Bombyx mori: one gene and its partners. The protein of the gene in region 1 purifies or fractionates together with the protein of each later gene. This does not show direct contact. Links are inferred from orthologs where the notes say so. Each region holds a gene or a part of one and is shown on either strand. Other genes may lie near its edges.

The links.
Region 2: the proteins of DNA replication licensing factor MCM4 (region 1) and splicing factor 3A subunit 1 fractionate together in Homo sapiens (co-fractionation; 3 studies listed by BioGRID, with this or other methods). This does not show direct contact. The link is inferred for Bombyx mori from reciprocal best matches to the Homo sapiens genes MCM4 and SF3A1.
Region 3: the proteins of DNA replication licensing factor MCM4 (region 1) and serine/threonine-protein kinase polo purify together in Homo sapiens (affinity purification with mass spectrometry; 3 studies listed by BioGRID and IntAct, with this or other methods). This does not show direct contact. The link is inferred for Bombyx mori from reciprocal best matches to the Homo sapiens genes MCM4 and PLK1.

What each region holds. Positions count from the first base shown.
Region 1 is NC_085125.1:2,549,732-2,555,347, reverse strand, and holds the start of DNA replication licensing factor MCM4, read right to left. Parts: upstream 3,150-5,616; 5' UTR 3,005-3,149; coding exon 2,875-3,004; intron 1-2,874. UniProt on the Homo sapiens protein: Acts as a component of the MCM2-7 complex (MCM complex) which is the replicative helicase essential for 'once per cell cycle' DNA replication initiation and elongation in eukaryotic cells.
Region 2 is NC_085112.1:2,361,315-2,366,187, forward strand, and holds the end of splicing factor 3A subunit 1, read left to right. Parts: exon of another isoform or gene 1-790; coding exon of another isoform or gene 791-1,582; exon of another isoform or gene 1,583-2,264; coding exon 2,265-2,487; intron 2,488-2,886; coding exon 2,887-3,050; intron 3,051-4,112; coding exon 4,113-4,268; intron 4,269-4,473; coding exon 4,474-4,575; 3' UTR 4,576-4,749; downstream 4,750-4,873. Other genes in the region: transmembrane protease serine 3-like, read left to right, coding at 791-1,582. UniProt on the Homo sapiens protein: Component of the 17S U2 SnRNP complex of the spliceosome, a large ribonucleoprotein complex that removes introns from transcribed pre-mRNAs.
Region 3 is NC_085121.1:12,624,276-12,629,592, reverse strand, and holds the end of serine/threonine-protein kinase polo, read right to left. Parts: intron 5,127-5,317; coding exon 4,934-5,126; intron 4,732-4,933; coding exon of another isoform or gene 4,621-4,731; intron 3,888-4,620; coding exon 3,661-3,887; intron 3,058-3,660; coding exon 2,921-3,057; intron 2,336-2,920; coding exon 2,154-2,335; intron 1,682-2,153; coding exon 1,548-1,681; intron 1,386-1,547; coding exon 1,273-1,385; intron 1,175-1,272; coding exon 980-1,174; downstream 1-979. UniProt on the Homo sapiens protein: Serine/threonine-protein kinase that performs several important functions throughout M phase of the cell cycle, including the regulation of centrosome maturation and spindle assembly, the removal of cohesins from chromosome arms, the inactivation of anaphase-promoting complex/cyclosome (APC/C) inhibitors, and the regulation of mitotic exit and cytokinesis.

The DNA.
Region 1 (5,616 bases):
CCTTCAATTTTTCAACATTTTCTGGATCAACTGCTAGGTGATATCACCAATGTAGCTGTATATTTTGACGACATAGCTATAGCAGGGAAAGATCTTTCAGAACATTTACAAACTTTATCTATTGTACTCGATCGCTTACAAAACGCTGGCCTAAAAGTTAACTTAAAGAAATGTAATTTCTTACAGAATCAGATTGAATACCTAGGTCACATAATAGATAAACATGGCATCCACCCAACCAAATCTAAAATTGATGCCATAACTAAGGCCCCAGCACCGTGTAATGCAAAAGAACTACGATCATTTTTAGGACTAGTTAATTTTTACGAACGGTTTGTACCACATCTTCACGGGATTTGTTCGGATCTTCACGATCTAACTAGTGAAAAAAATAGATGGCGTTGGACTGATCATGAAAACAGAATATTTGAAGATACAAAGAAATGCATAACTTCTTCACAACCATTAATTGCATTTGACGAGAAACGTCCCCTTTATTTAGCATGTGACGCTTCCGAAAAGGGATTGGGTGCAGTATTATTCCACAAGGACTCGAACATAGAACAACCAATTGCTTTTGCTTCAAGGAAACTACGACCAGCGGAAATGAAATATTCCGTTATTGATCGTGAAGCTTTAGCAATAGTATTTGGTATAAAAAAATTTGATCAGTACTTGAGAGGAACGAAATTTAATCTAGTTACGGACCATAAGCCTCTTATACATATTATGGGTGCACACCGCAACCTTCCTAAACTAGCCAATAACCGATTGGTAAGATGGGCCCTAGTAGTGGGAAGTTATCAATATGACATTTACTACAGGAAAGGTGAAAATAACACATTAGCTGATTGCCTTTCCAGATTACCAAACCCTGAAACTGAACCCTCCGAGACAGAAGGGCTTGTACATAAAATAGATCTACGTCTTTTGAGCACTCGAATGACTGACCTTAATCTATCAGAACAGTTACTTATGAAAACAACTTCAAAGGATCATATACTCACAAAAGTTTGTCAAAATTTAAAAACCGGCTGGAGAGAATCAGATTACAATCCAGAAATGAAACCATTCTACAGAAACCGGACTGAATTATCTGTTGAGAATAAGATACTTATGAGGCAAGGACGCATCGTTATACCTACAGCACTCCGAAAAACCATTCTTACATACCTTCATCGAGGACATCCTGGCATTTCTGCTATGAAAGCACTTTCACGTTACTATGTTTGGTGGCCTAACCTTGACGAAGACATAGAATTATTTGTCAAGAAATGTACCAGATGCCAACAGAACCGCCCTTGTAATCCTGAACTTCCTGTATTTTCCTGGTCCATACCAGAAGAAGTATGGGAGAGAATCCATATCGACTTTGCTGGACCGTTCGAAGGATCGTATTGGTTGGTATTGTGCGACGCTCTCTCCAAATGGGTGGAAATACGACCGATGAAACACATCAACACCAGATCACTTTGTCTTACATTAGATAACATATTTTGTACATTTGGCTTACCAAAAATGATTATATCCGATAATGGACCTCAATTTACATCTTATGAATTTAAAGAATATTGCACAAAACAATCTATTTTACATGTCACATCATCTCCATATCATCCTCGGACAAATGGGCTGGCAGAACGTTTAGTCAGAACATTCAAAAATAGAATGGCATCGGTAGACAACACAAATCTCGAGCGCCGACTATTAGAATTTTTGTTTACATACAGAAACACTCCGCACTCGTCCACTGGTAAATCTCCAGCTGAGATGATGTTTGGACGACAATTGAATTGCATACTTTCCAACATTCGGCCAGACAAAAGAAGATTAATGCAGTATTTACAAGTAAAAGAAAACATTCGTACCACATCACCGAGTTACCGACCAAGTGACCAAGTATATATTAAAACACGCAATGATAAAATATGGGAACCAGCGGTAATTACATCCCGAAAACATAAATATTCATATATTGTTTCAACACCAGGAGGACTAGAAAAACGAAGACACGCTGATCACATCAGGCCACGCGAGTCTTCCACCTCAGAAACCCCGAGGAATAAAAGGGCGCATTCTTCTATGCTGCCGACGACTGCTTCTCCAGACATTGGAATGGAAACATCAATTAGCGAAAGGCTAACTAACAATAAGAATTCGGCAGCAGTACTATTACCTACACCGCAGTCGCCTACAAATGTACAAATTTCTCCAAATTCACCTTCACAGCATTCGAAGTTATACTCCTCACCTGCTCCGGTCTCCACTCCTGTGCCATTTGCTCCGCGTCGAAGTAATCGACCTAAACAGGCACCCCGCCGTCTGATCAACGAGATGTAGATGGGGAGGAATGTTGTAACCTTCTTTTCCATATTCCATTATTTGAAATATACTTCAAACACATTGTCATTTTTGCTACCTATCATTATTATATTTTTATGCTATGTCTTGAAAACATTGTTTTATTATATTAACTTGAACTTATTATTTTATATTAATATTTTTATGACATTAGAGACTAGACTTTATTGTCCAAAGCGGGTGCTAGCATTTAGGTTGTGATGTCTAGTCTACTTTAATCAATTAACAGATGTCTGCCTGTTTAAAACATGATAAAATTCGAATGCTGTTTTATTTAGTTAAATATTACGCTGTAAGCCTTTTATTCCCTTATGTATTATATGTATGAAATTTTAAAAAGTTAAATATAAATTGATAAAAGAGGTTAAATGTTAAGATGAAATAAGTACAGCAGAATTAAACTAAAATTTTACAAAACAAATTTTAGTTTAATTTGTTTGTAATTCTAAATAAAAGTTTATATACAAATGTACAATTGTTTTAAATCTTAATGATTCTGTTGTCAACTCTCACCTTTCGAAGGTGTGCCGGTTGAACGCTGCGGAGTCTCCGGAACGATAACTTGTTGTGAGGATCGCGTTCTTCGTGGAGTCGATGCTTCCGATGATGCACGCGACGACGGGCGTTTAGATGGTGTAGACATTTTTAACTTCACACTCGTTTTTTAACACAACTTACTATAAAAAATAATTAGCAACAAGTTTTAAACAACACCGAAGCAGCATTTGTTTTGGAACTTTAGAAGTCTTGGCGCGAATTGTTGACAGCTGACATTGTCGTTCGTTATAATCGGTTTCGTTCGTCAGACAAGTAAAGGGAATATCGCCCGATACCTTGAAAATTTCTGTGATACGATTGAACCCAAAAATGGAAACTTCGCGAATTTACAGGTGAAATTAGGTTACAACTAAATGAAGCGGACTGCAACAATTTCATTAGAGAAGGAATAAAATAGCCTCTAAGTAAATTAAGAAATAAAAAGGTAGATTTGAATTTCCAATTTACTAAGTATTCAATGGACTTTTTGGAAAAACCCGAAAAGCCACGACCAGTGACTTTATTCTTCATTTTTCTACATTCATGGATTTTTACAAATCTATATCTGAAGATACACAAAGTGAACAAAACACTATAATTTATAGAGCTGGACACTTCACATTCCTCCAAAAGGTCGGCTTGTAGATGACTCACGATAGTTTGCTGTCAGTTTGAAACCGGTGAATGCAACCATTATATATTGCGACTTGTGTAGAGGTTTGGGCATGTACACAAATTAATATTGTTCATCACCTACGTTTTAGTGATACTATCAACTCAACTTATTTTTAGTTCTTTTCTTGGTGGATAGTCAGTAGCAATTTTATTAAGTAAGAAAAATAGGATTAATTGTACCGCGTGAGCGGTCCCAGTTTAAGCAAAGTTCGGATGTGACCGTTCAGACTGTTTAAAACGCTATGCCCTATTTCATAAATGCTGTTGCACCACCCTTCTTTGGAAACGATTAGGCCGTTGACAGCAAATTCTACCCCTCTTGGTTTAAACAGAGCTCACTTTCCTATCGTGTTAAAGCCTACAGGCCATCAGCAATCACGCGATCACGGAAAGATAATTAAGTGGGCAAAGGTGCAATTGATACTAAACGAGATAACAGAAACAATTTTATTTGGTAATACCGAGGACTAAGCCATGCTGCATAAGAAAATATGTTTTAAGAAAAAAAGGTTCATCATTGCCGATTAATAGCGATTTTTACCCTATTGAATGTCAACTTACCACAGACAATGAAGTTTGTTTTTTAAATCAATTGATCGTTCATTCACCTTCACCGCTGATGTTTTTGTGGTGTTATTTTATGTTAAAATAAATAAAAATGATAATTGCTATGTAACAGCAACTCTGACTGTTGTGTAGTAAATTTGATCAAGTGCAATATAATAAAGGAACGTTGATAAATGCACGAAAAATATTCACGTCCCGGTGGGTTTGTTTCGCCTACCTGCATTGGACGTAGAATATTTCGTGCTTATTTGTCGGTGACTGGACATATGATTTATAATTAAATGGACAAGTAGAAAGTGCGCTGATGCGTAGTACGTATGTTAACAAGTGAATAAGCGCTTATACAAGATTCGAACAATATTCGGTAAGTGCAATTGAATGATTCATACGAGATATGCATTGAAAAGGTCCCTCGAAACTGTTCGTAATTGTTCCTTTGTGCTCTTACATGTTTACGTTCGCAGATAAGATATTTTTAGTCGTGCATTCAAATATAGAATGCATTGACATTGTTGCAGTGAGGTGCTGTAGTTTGAATTTTTTTTCTATGCATCGCATATGCATTTCGGTGCATTTCAAGGCTAATGACCGCGGTATTGTTTAGTTCGGAGCGCTCATTGCCTCAATTGAAAACTGTTAAAATATCCTTCCAATTCATTAACGTTCTTTAACATGGCAAATAAATGTTTTTTAATGTAAGATTTTTAAAAAATACTTCCAAATATAAATCATCCAGACCTTAAAAAACTTTATGTACAGAAACAATCTTTATTTATCAAACAGGTTGAACAGCCTTATCAGCTCTGCAAGTCCATTTAAAAATGATCCTTATAAATGATATCATTAAAGGGTAGATTTGGTGAATAGCAATTTATCTTCAAGTATAGTCCATTAAAAGCACAAAAAGAAAGTTTTTTGCTATTGAAATTGTAATGTTTATAAGTGCTTATGTTTATGTTAATTACCCATAAAATGTGTACCAATTAGAAAGTAGTTTACAGCAATATATTCATAAATGTTTGGACTCATAATTTCTATTCATCTCTAATGTAAACAGTTAATAAAATAAAAAAGTTTCATACTTCCAAACCACATATAGAAAAGAGGCATGTTTTTAGTGAAATAGCACAGCCATTACATAATAAAACTAAAACTTTTATTGCATCTCAAGGTGGTATTCACACAATGATGTCCATGGTCTCCAACAAACATCAGCTGGGCCCTGAGCTAATCTACATATACAATTTGTTAATGAATGGTCATGAGCTAATCAATTTTAATGTCAAATATCAATATTCTTATAAATGTAGGGTGTACAAACGAAGGGTACCCTGAATTTTTAAGTTATAAATAATGTAAATGAGTTAAATACATAATAATATGATCATCCTTTATCTTCCAAAACATTGATCAATTGTTTAACTAAGTCTAGGCTTCAGTGGCTAAACATTATGAAGGCTGTAAGCTTAGAGTCCC
Region 2 (4,873 bases), on another chromosome or scaffold:
CTTTATCGGAATACGATGACACCCGAACAGTCAATGAATGATTATATTAAATGAGTAACATTTTCATATCCAATAGTATGGAACTTTATTATTTAGTGTCAAAATGAATAATGTCATTGCACTGAGAGAGCACGATAAATACGAACTTTTCCGAAAAATTACGAAGTACTTTTCTGAATATGTCTATACATTCTTACACACTTTCACATTTATAATATTAAGTAGGATGAATCAAAAAAGGGTATTATTATGATATATAAAAAAATCATTGGATTCATTGAACATTGGCTTCAACCCTGATTCCTTCAATGCAGGAAAGGGCTTGCATTTTTTTGCTTACCTAATCGTCGGTACCCTAAAGGGCTATTCTAACTACTCACGGACCGGTAGGTGAGCTCCCTGGGCTCATCCTGAGAGAATTTACTAAAACTAGCCCTAGCAAGCACAGTGCTTCGCAGAATCTACCATCGGGTCGGAATCACGGCCCAATGAGAAGACCCGGTGAAAGAAACTCAGTTACTTGTGTTTGTGGCAGCGTATTCCCAAAAGGACAAGCACTAACACATTTCCCCACCCCCACTGTGCCAGAAAAAAGTTTTCATAAACTATCGTAAATGCCTTAAACAAATAAAATATCAATCAAACTGCTGGGAAACCCGATCGCGAATAACATTGCACAGCGCGTAATAAAAATCTCGTCAATAAAATATAAAACATTAAAACAGAAAAACAATAAAAATGTTTCACGTGTATTGTATTTCTCTTATGTTGAACAACATTGTAATACATAATGGGTATTGTGGCATTGAATCTAATGTTATATTTCGTTTTGCAAACTGTAAATATTGTGGTTTGCACGAAATCACTGCGCACAGGCAGAGATGCTTTAGAAGATGAGTACCCGTACGTTGTGACGGTCGAGTTAAAACTCACGAATACTACGACGAACGCTCTGCTGTGCTCGGGGTGCGTGCTGACCCCGACCTGGACCCTGACCACCGCGCGCTGCGTCTCCAAAACCGAAGACTTGCTAATCCAGGATCCGAAGATGTCATGGGTGGTGTACTATGGACTCACGCAGAAACCTTCCCAGGACACCGCCATCGCGATCCTTTCCGGAATAGTCCACCCCAGATATGCCGCGTCACCGAGAATGCTTCACAACGACATCGGCCTTCTGCGCACCGATCCCATCACCCTTAAACAGTTCGCCAAATTGAGCGCCGTTGACATGTTCTCTATGAACGGTTACGAAGTTGAGCTAATAGGCTTCAAGTCGACCAATGATACCAGTGGAAAATTGAAGAGAACTCTACAGATTTCATCGGTTGTGGTGAAGACTTGTGAAGGCACCGTTACTTATCCGGGGATGTGTTTGGCTCGGTCCTGCTCGTTGACCGACGCTTGTCACCAGGAAACTGGAGGTATAGCCATCCACAGCACCGGGGTCATAGCACTCCTGGCCAGTGGACGCAAGAGGGACTGCTTGGAGAACAATGAGAGACAGCAGGCCTATCAAATTGAGACAATGACTTCAATTGTGCCATATATAGATTGGATTCATACTCATATCAAGAGCTAATAGTAGCTAGTGTAAGATTGGTGTCAGAAGCTTCAGTGAACGGATGAAATTTGTATTGTTTTCTCAATAAAAGTGTTTGTTTATGAGCTTTATTTGTATTTAGCTTTTAAAAGCAATTAAAAATGCTCAGTTAACTTGATGATTACCCGCCTTTAGTTAAGCCTGCTCACTAAAGTATTGATATTTTACACTGACTAACTTTGTACGCTTCGGGCTTGTGTTGGATCAATGTTTTATCTTCTCGTTATTTTACTTGCTTAGCTTATACTGTTGTGTATGCACAAATGAAAGATTCCAAAGCAGACTGGTTTATTTTTGCATCTACCCGCCATTTTATAATGCGATTTAATATCTATACATAACACTTGTAATAAAGGGAGGTGGCGGAATTCATGGAATTCATTTGGTGAACTATATCTGATGTTTATAGGTTCCGTGAAGCTGTTGACCTGGAGTTGGCCATTAGTTTGTTCAAATAATTGTTCCATGCTCTCTGCGACATACGCCTTAGTAACTTCTTACTGCATTTCCAAATAGTAAGGAAATTGTATAATGGTAAACATGACGTAATAGCTTAGGTTATTTGAAGATACACTTTTTTAACGAGCATAATAAGAAATACTATTGCAACATTCTCTTCGAAACTCGTTTAAGATACTCATTACGATTGATTACAATTCAGGTTAAAGGTCTACTCCCCGACGAGGAGAAAGAGAAAATAGGTCCGAAGCCAGTGACCGGGGCAGCCCAGAGCCGGGCGGGGCGTCCCCCCGCGCCCCCCTCTGCCCCCCGCGCTGCTCCGCCTCCCCCGCCCCCGGCACCGCCTGTGCTGCTGCAGCCGATGTCCTCGCTAATGGTCCTGCCCCCCATGGCGCCCCGACCTCCGCTCATACCGGCTCCAGTGGGTACGTATACTCGAACACTGCACACATTCCGTACAACATGGCGCTAAGATCGCGTGCCTGATTTACTGGTGCCGGACAATGTACATGTAGTCTTAGGGAGTTAAGCTACAGATTAGAGGAAGAGTTGATGGAATGATAGAGTAAAGTGACATCTGAATGTGATCGCTGTGAGGGGATCATATGGTCAAAGTGTTCTGTGCAGGGGACCGACCCATCGTGGGTCGGTGAGTATCGGCTTCGGTCTGTGCACCCACGGTGTGTTGGACCCCACCTAACGCCAGTTGAGCTGTAGATTCGCGTGCCAGTAATGCATGCAACTATCCAAATATTGTGTGTGCTTCTTGCATAACACATCCGCTCAGTACATTTTGTACCAATAATGTGATTGCATCGCCTTAGGTGCAGTACCACCGCCGGCGTTCAACTTCGGAGCGGTAGTCCCTCCGGGCACAGTGGCGGAGCCCGAGGACGAGGGCCCGGCCGCTAAGAGAGCCCGCACCGAGGACGCGCTGGAGCCCGAGGGCGCCTGGCTCGCGCGCCACCCCGGCGCAGTCCCCCTGCAGGTGGGCTACCAGTAACACTACAATGATTGCTCTTACGCTAACAAACATTACAACTACAAACAAATAGAAAATCGGTCCAGTGTTTTTTTATTTTTTTTTATTGCTCAGAGGGGTGGACGAGCTTACAGCCGACCTGATGTTAAGTGGTTACTGAAGCCCATATACATCTACAACGTAAATGCGCCACCCACCTTGAGATATAAGTTCTAAGGTCTAAGTATAGTTACAACGGCTGCCCCACCCTTCAAACCGAAACGCATTACTGCTTCACGGCAGAAATAGGCACGGTGGTGGTACCCACCCGCGCGTATTATTAATATACCCCCAATATTAATATGTAGACAGAAGTGCTCTAATTTAATACGGTTTTATTAGCTTCATACGTATGTTAGTAAGTAACGGAATCTTTGAACATGATTTTGACCCCCTTCAAAACGTCAGATTGATTCGAAATTTGGCATACTTATTAAGGACCGATTAAAATTCAATATTTTAAACAATTAGACTCGTTATCCTTACTAGGATAATCAGGAATAGCGATTTTTTGTTTTCCTGAGACCCTGAGTGTCTGCGTCAAAACCAAGATGGGAAACCACCAGGCCCGCTGATTACCTATTTCTCGGATAAGTTACCGACTGTATCAGATGAAAGTTTTGAAATATTGAAAAAAAAAATTAATAAATTAAAATTCAACTAAAAAAATAGAAAATAAATTTTAATTAAAAATAGTCTAAGAAAAAATTATATTATTGTAAAAAAATCGTGGGGCGCACTGTATCAATAGTTATAAATATTTTATGAACAGATATGAGTAGAAGGGCTATTTTGATAATATACTGAAAAGCACCCGTACCTCCTACGAGGTCTCCGCGCTTAGGAGGCGCGCGGGGTAGGTACGTGGGACTGGTCCGCGACTGCGAGACTGCGGGCCCAAGGATGTTTTCAGGGCCCTAGAGTGGTGGTACCTACCCGTGCGGACTCACAAGACGTCCTACCACCAGGAATGCATTATGTTAATTGTATGATATTGTACCCTAATGCCCTTGTCCCTTGTGTCGGCAGGTGTCGTTGCCGGCGGCGCCTGAGCGCGCGGAGTGGCGGCTGGACGGGCGCGCGGTGCCGCTGACGCTGCCGCTGTCGGCCGCCGTCGCCGAGCTCAAGGCCATGCTGCAGCGCGCCACCAACATGCCCACCGCCAAGCAGAAGCTGCACTACGAGGTATCCCGACACGCTCAAATACTCGCATAGCTCACCGTAACAAATGATTAGCCATATTTTTTCCCCGGTTTTGACAGACCATATTAGCGTCAGGCGAATAGGTGAGCTCATGGGGCTCAAATCTGACGTTGTTGCTAACACGAACCCTAGCAAGAGCTGTGCTTCGCAGAATCTTCCATCAGATAATATATAAGTATTGTTCCAGGGTCTGTTCTTCAAGGATACTAACAGCTTGGCGTACTACAACGTGCCCCCGGGTGCCGTCATACAGCTACAGATCAAGGAACGAGGCGGTAGAAAGAAATAATACAAAAAAATACTATAAAAGTTAATGATAAGGGACTGCGAAACACGTTGGAAGAATTAATACAGAATTTACATCAGAATATTGACATTCAGTCAATAGGTTGTTACGTTAGTCGTGATAAAAAGATTCATTGAAATTATCTAATGGTGGGAAAATTAAATATTTACCAAATAATATTGTAATTATTTATTGTTGGTAACCCTGACCTATCACACCCCTAATCCAAGACCTCTTATTCCCAATAAGAATATATGTGAACTCTTGAAGTATCTTGAGGATCGCCAGCTGATCAATGACC
Region 3 (5,317 bases), on another chromosome or scaffold:
TGTATTTATCTTAAGTACAAGAAGATTTTAAACTAACTCCAACAATTGTTTTGTGTAACTTTATTGTCAAGTACTTATAGTTTATGTTAATCCACGAGGTAGCAGCAGACCATCCACCAAACTTTCAAGTTGCAAAATGAAATTGATACATACAGTACTGAATCGATTTCTTTTCACGCATAACGAATTCTAACGACTAAATATTGAACACTTGCTGAATTACATTAATTTTATTTCATTACGAACATGAAACAATTTGTAATTGATGCTGTTGAAGCACAAAACAAAATGTTATAAAAATATAGTTATAAAACTAAATAACTCCAAACTTTCTTGATATCGCACCACAGCCCCTGTCAAAGGGCGCTTTTAAAATGGCAATCAAATTAAAATCTAAAATTAAATTTATTCTTCCATCAATTATTGTAGATGTTTAGAAATATGTAGATAGAAATCAAATCATTCCCTGAAATGGCAAAGTCAGTAAGTTTTGCATCAAATGGAATATAATATGTATTAACAACCAAAGACACATATTTAAAGAATAAAAAAAAAAGTCGAAAGTTTTGCTCATATACTGAATCGGCAAAATAATTTGATGCTAAATCATTAAAAAGTATTTACTAAATAAATAGACAGTATCGGTGGATTTTTAACCTAAGTTTGAAATTTTAGGGTACAAAATTGATTTTAGTGACCCTTCTATTAAATTATAATATACTGGTGACTATCCTAAAAATACAAAAGGTAATATAATTTTTATTTTAGAAAAGTAGGAGACCCTAGGAAATTTAAGTGTAAAGATTTTTTTTATCAAGTACAGACTATCTCAATCAATAAGAACAGAATGATGAAAATTTGTAGTGATTTCAAACTTTTTTGCTATTTACATAAGCAGGGTCTCTTGGTTTACACAGTTCTTCATTGGAGCTTTCCACAAAGCCCACAAATTCATTTACTCATTTAGGTTCAGTGAAAACTAGCACAGTTTGTTTGCCAATACACTGTTTAGTTTTTCCAATGCATATGTGAGGTTTGTGTAAAGCTTTTTATCACAGCCATGCTCTTCAATGGTATTAAAGCGGAATGTTCTGAAATTCTTCTCTATATCTATGTAGGTGACAGCTTGCATAAGTGGACACAGTATTATCTTTGTGTGATCTTGGAAGTTTATCTGTAATATTAGAAAAAAAAAACAATCATGATGAGAAAGAAATATAACAGATCAATAAAAATTATATGCCAACAGCATTAAAATATAATTCTACTAACCTGTAAAGTTCCATTAGTCAGGTACATAATAACAGCTAAAGTTGTTCGAAACCACTGGTGTAAATGTGGCAAACGAGACAGACCATCACTCTCTCGCACTGGTACTGAAGCACCTGGATAATGGTAAATTTATTTAAAAGCGATAACATTGTTGTTAAGTATGAATACATTAGTTACTCATGCCATAAGAAAACTATTGCTCACACATTTTGTTTTCTGAATATTCTATTTGATTTATATGCTTTAGTGATGACAATGGATGTTGAAAAATTTACCAGCTTTCATGAGATGTTCGGTCATGTATCGTCTAAAGTATGTAAGGAGTTTCATTTTTTTGTCGAGTTCTTGCGGGTAATCGCGCATCGTCATGTACTGCTCTTGGCCCTGCCGATTGATGTAGTGCACATTCCTGAAAAAGGATAGTTTATGCAGATCTCCTTTTATTTTTTCAGATAGCAATATGAAGATTTTGTTGCTTGCTAATCTGCACATTACAGTCATAATACAAAACAATTGAGAATCACGCCGCAAGGAATATGCTATTAACATATTATGATGTCTATGGATTCTTATCACTTGTATAAAAAAGTGTATTGCGAATTTTTTTTCTTCAAAATATGTTTAAAGTTTGTGTGAGCTATGATTTGATTCTAATTTTGAGTGTGCAATGCATTCGTTTTATGACATATTATACTTTGATTCTCATTATAAAGATATAAAAAAAAAAACTATTTTAAGCTTTAGTGATTCGAACGTGATTTCGAATTTTAGTGAGTTCGAAACTGTTGCAAGCGCCTGTTGTATACTACTATAATATAATATAATTAAAAATATGTATATCTGATATTATCATCTAATATTTATATTAAACGTAAACTTACAGTCCATTAGCGAGCATGATAAGCTTGGTAGTATCGTTGAACATGACACCGACGCTCTCGTCGCAGAGCTGGTATCCGAATCCGTATTTGTCGCTGTAGTCGACCCACTTGCCAACCCACACCAGCGGCTGTGCTGCGGGATCGCTCAGCTCGTCTGTCAGAGCCTCCGGTCGGCATTTCAGCTAAAAGTTATAGAAAATGCCAACATACAGTCAAACTAGTTGTTTATAATTAAGTTACAAAAGTTCCATAAGATGAAGAGTTTATCAATTTATTTCTACTTATGATAAGGTTATCAGCGTATACCAGTTCATAGCACGGTCCTGCCCTATTTCAAAACTAGAGCCTATTAAATGTTATTTAGACCATAGGTATTTTTTCTCATCTATACATATAAATAAAATTGGAGTGTCTATTTGTAATATTGAAATAACCGCTTTTTACTAAGCGCATAATATGAATATATATACGGTACATATACCAAAATAACATTTTTAACAATTTTTGTCGGTCTGTTTGTTCCGGCTAATCTCTGGAACGGCTAGACCATTTTGACGAGACTTTCACTGATAGGTAGCTGATGATATAAGGAGTAACTTAGGCTACTTTTTTAAGACTAGCTTCGCCCCGCGGCCTCACTCGCGGTACGACAATAACCGCGGGTAACATCGCGAGACTCAGCTATTAATTAATAATAAAATTTAATGTTTCCGAAGCGAAGCGAAGGCGGGTCGCTAGTATTAATATAAAAAAAAACTATATTTTACCTTGTTAACCAACAATGCAGCGAGCTGGTCTCGCAGTGCAATAAAATTCTGGCGGTGCGACGTTGGTTCCACAGCTCGTGGCCCCGCGGGGGTAGCTTCGCGTTTGACGGGCGAGTCCACTGCCATCGTCTCTTGTTCTATTCAATTGAAAGTACGTATTATAAATGTCAATTCATTTATGTTGAATTTTAAAGTAGCTAATTATAAAAGGAGAAAAATGCTGCTTTTTTGATTCTATGAAGATTTTGATGTGCATAAGTGCTCCTTAATGAATCTTCTATCTATCTATCTATATATATAAAAATGAATTGCTGTTCGTTAGTCTCGCTAAAACTCGAGAACGGCTTGACCGATTTGGCTAATTTTGGTCTAGAATTATTTGTGGAAGTCCAGAGAAGGTTTAAATATGAAAATGCTCAGAATTGAATAAAAATAACAATTTTGTTTTTCTTTGATGTGTACCCCGTCAAACGGATTCCTTTTGTTTGTTTTAAGTTTATTTTATGCAAAAGTTTAGGTCTTTTTTTTATTTATCGATTGAGGCACTACGAAGTCTGTCGGGTCATTAATAAAGATCCGCGCATATCCGACATATTCTTTAGTGTTCATCGTAACTGCGATGATATTTTACCATTTAAAACTATAATTTCTTTAATTATTATTGAACTCTCCCTCATCAATTTATGAGGGAGAAAGTCTCGAAGTCTAGCCTGCGATTAAATAAATTACAATATATGCACCGTTAGCATGAACTTCGTTAAGAGGGCGGCGGTGTACCAGCATGCCCTCGAGCTGGTCAGTGCGCGGCGCTGTGGTGAGGCAAGAGACGGGCAGCCCGGCTGGCAAAATCCCCGATGAGAAGAATTCATGCTGCAGAAGTTTGTCCACGGACGGACGACGCGCAGGGTTCGATTGCAACTGCAGTACAATCATGGACGCCGCCGGTTTGCGAAGCGACGACGGAATCCTGAAGATATATTTGATTGTTCGAGATCGACAAACGTGAAGACCAAGGGAATTGTTATATTAGAAGGCCAGAAGAACAGTAGTCATAGAGCTATACCAACAGGGATGTCAATTTTATAACACTAGGCCTGCACCAGACTACAACACGAATGATCACATTGTAGTCTGGTGCCTGGCTCTGGTTGACAATCGAGTGAAGTGTTGGCTCTAGTGACCAAATTTCTCAGTTAATAACAAAAAGTTACTTTAACTCTTAGAATTAGGAACTCTATATACAAATAGTATTATTTTCCTAATTCAGTTTCAACATATTATATAGTATAGTAAGTAGTACATAGTTTGTTTTATAATATTGCGTTATTAATAATTCCTAGTAATAATTTTAAACTTAGTGCTGTTTTAAATTTTAATGATTGAGATTGAAATACATTTAGATTCGAAATTAGAAACATTTTTTACATTACTAAGACTAAGTATGACTTGTGTTGTAAGTTAAGCAGACGTTAGAAATATCCACAATACATAAAGCTGCACATCATGATCACCCTTCACCCTAGTTTGATGGTGCAAAAGTCAAAATATGGCACTAATGTTTGCCAAATAGTTTATAGAATCAAAGGAATTTGGTTGGATATTTTGAAGTCATTTTAAAAGGAAGAATAAGCGTTAAGTAATTTTATGTTGACAAATATATATTATAAAGTGCCATATTTCTCTAGCACCCCATGATGCACCTGTATTGTAGTTTGAGGGTGTTATCGTCGATTAACGTTCGCGCGTAGCGACTACGTAAATGGTTCCAAGGGCCCCCGAGACAAACGCGCATCGCTACCTCTACTGCCTCACTGGTTGGAACAATAACATTATCTATTGTTAATATTCTCTTTGATAACTTTCTAAAATATAATATATTAACATAACATGTTATCCATGATCACGTATATATTTTTCGTATTGTAATCAATGCTGAAATCAATATTCTATATATACTTTTTAATACTATAATAATGATGATATCCATACAGATTTATATTAAAAAAAAATCACCTGTATTCGCACTGTTTAATCCTTTTGTATGTATCCTTGAGGGTGGACGTCTCAAACGGCGGTTTGCCAACAAGCAGCGTGTACATGATGCAGCCCAGACTCCAGATATCCACTTCAAATGAGTGGCCCTTCTTTGTTAATATCTCAGGGGCAATGTAGTTTGGGGTACCACACAGAGTCTGTTTTCTCTCTCCTATGAAAGTTCATTTTGTTGTTTCAAGTTCAAAAACGAGAAATCCTTAGCATCAGAATTACAACTATGGGCGCACACTTCATGTTTATATTTCTGAGAATGATTACTTTCAGAAAGGTTGAAAAGGAAATTGAATCTCAAGGTTATTCTTAGGTATAAAAAAATGGTTTCAGTTCTTTAAGCAGAGTGTT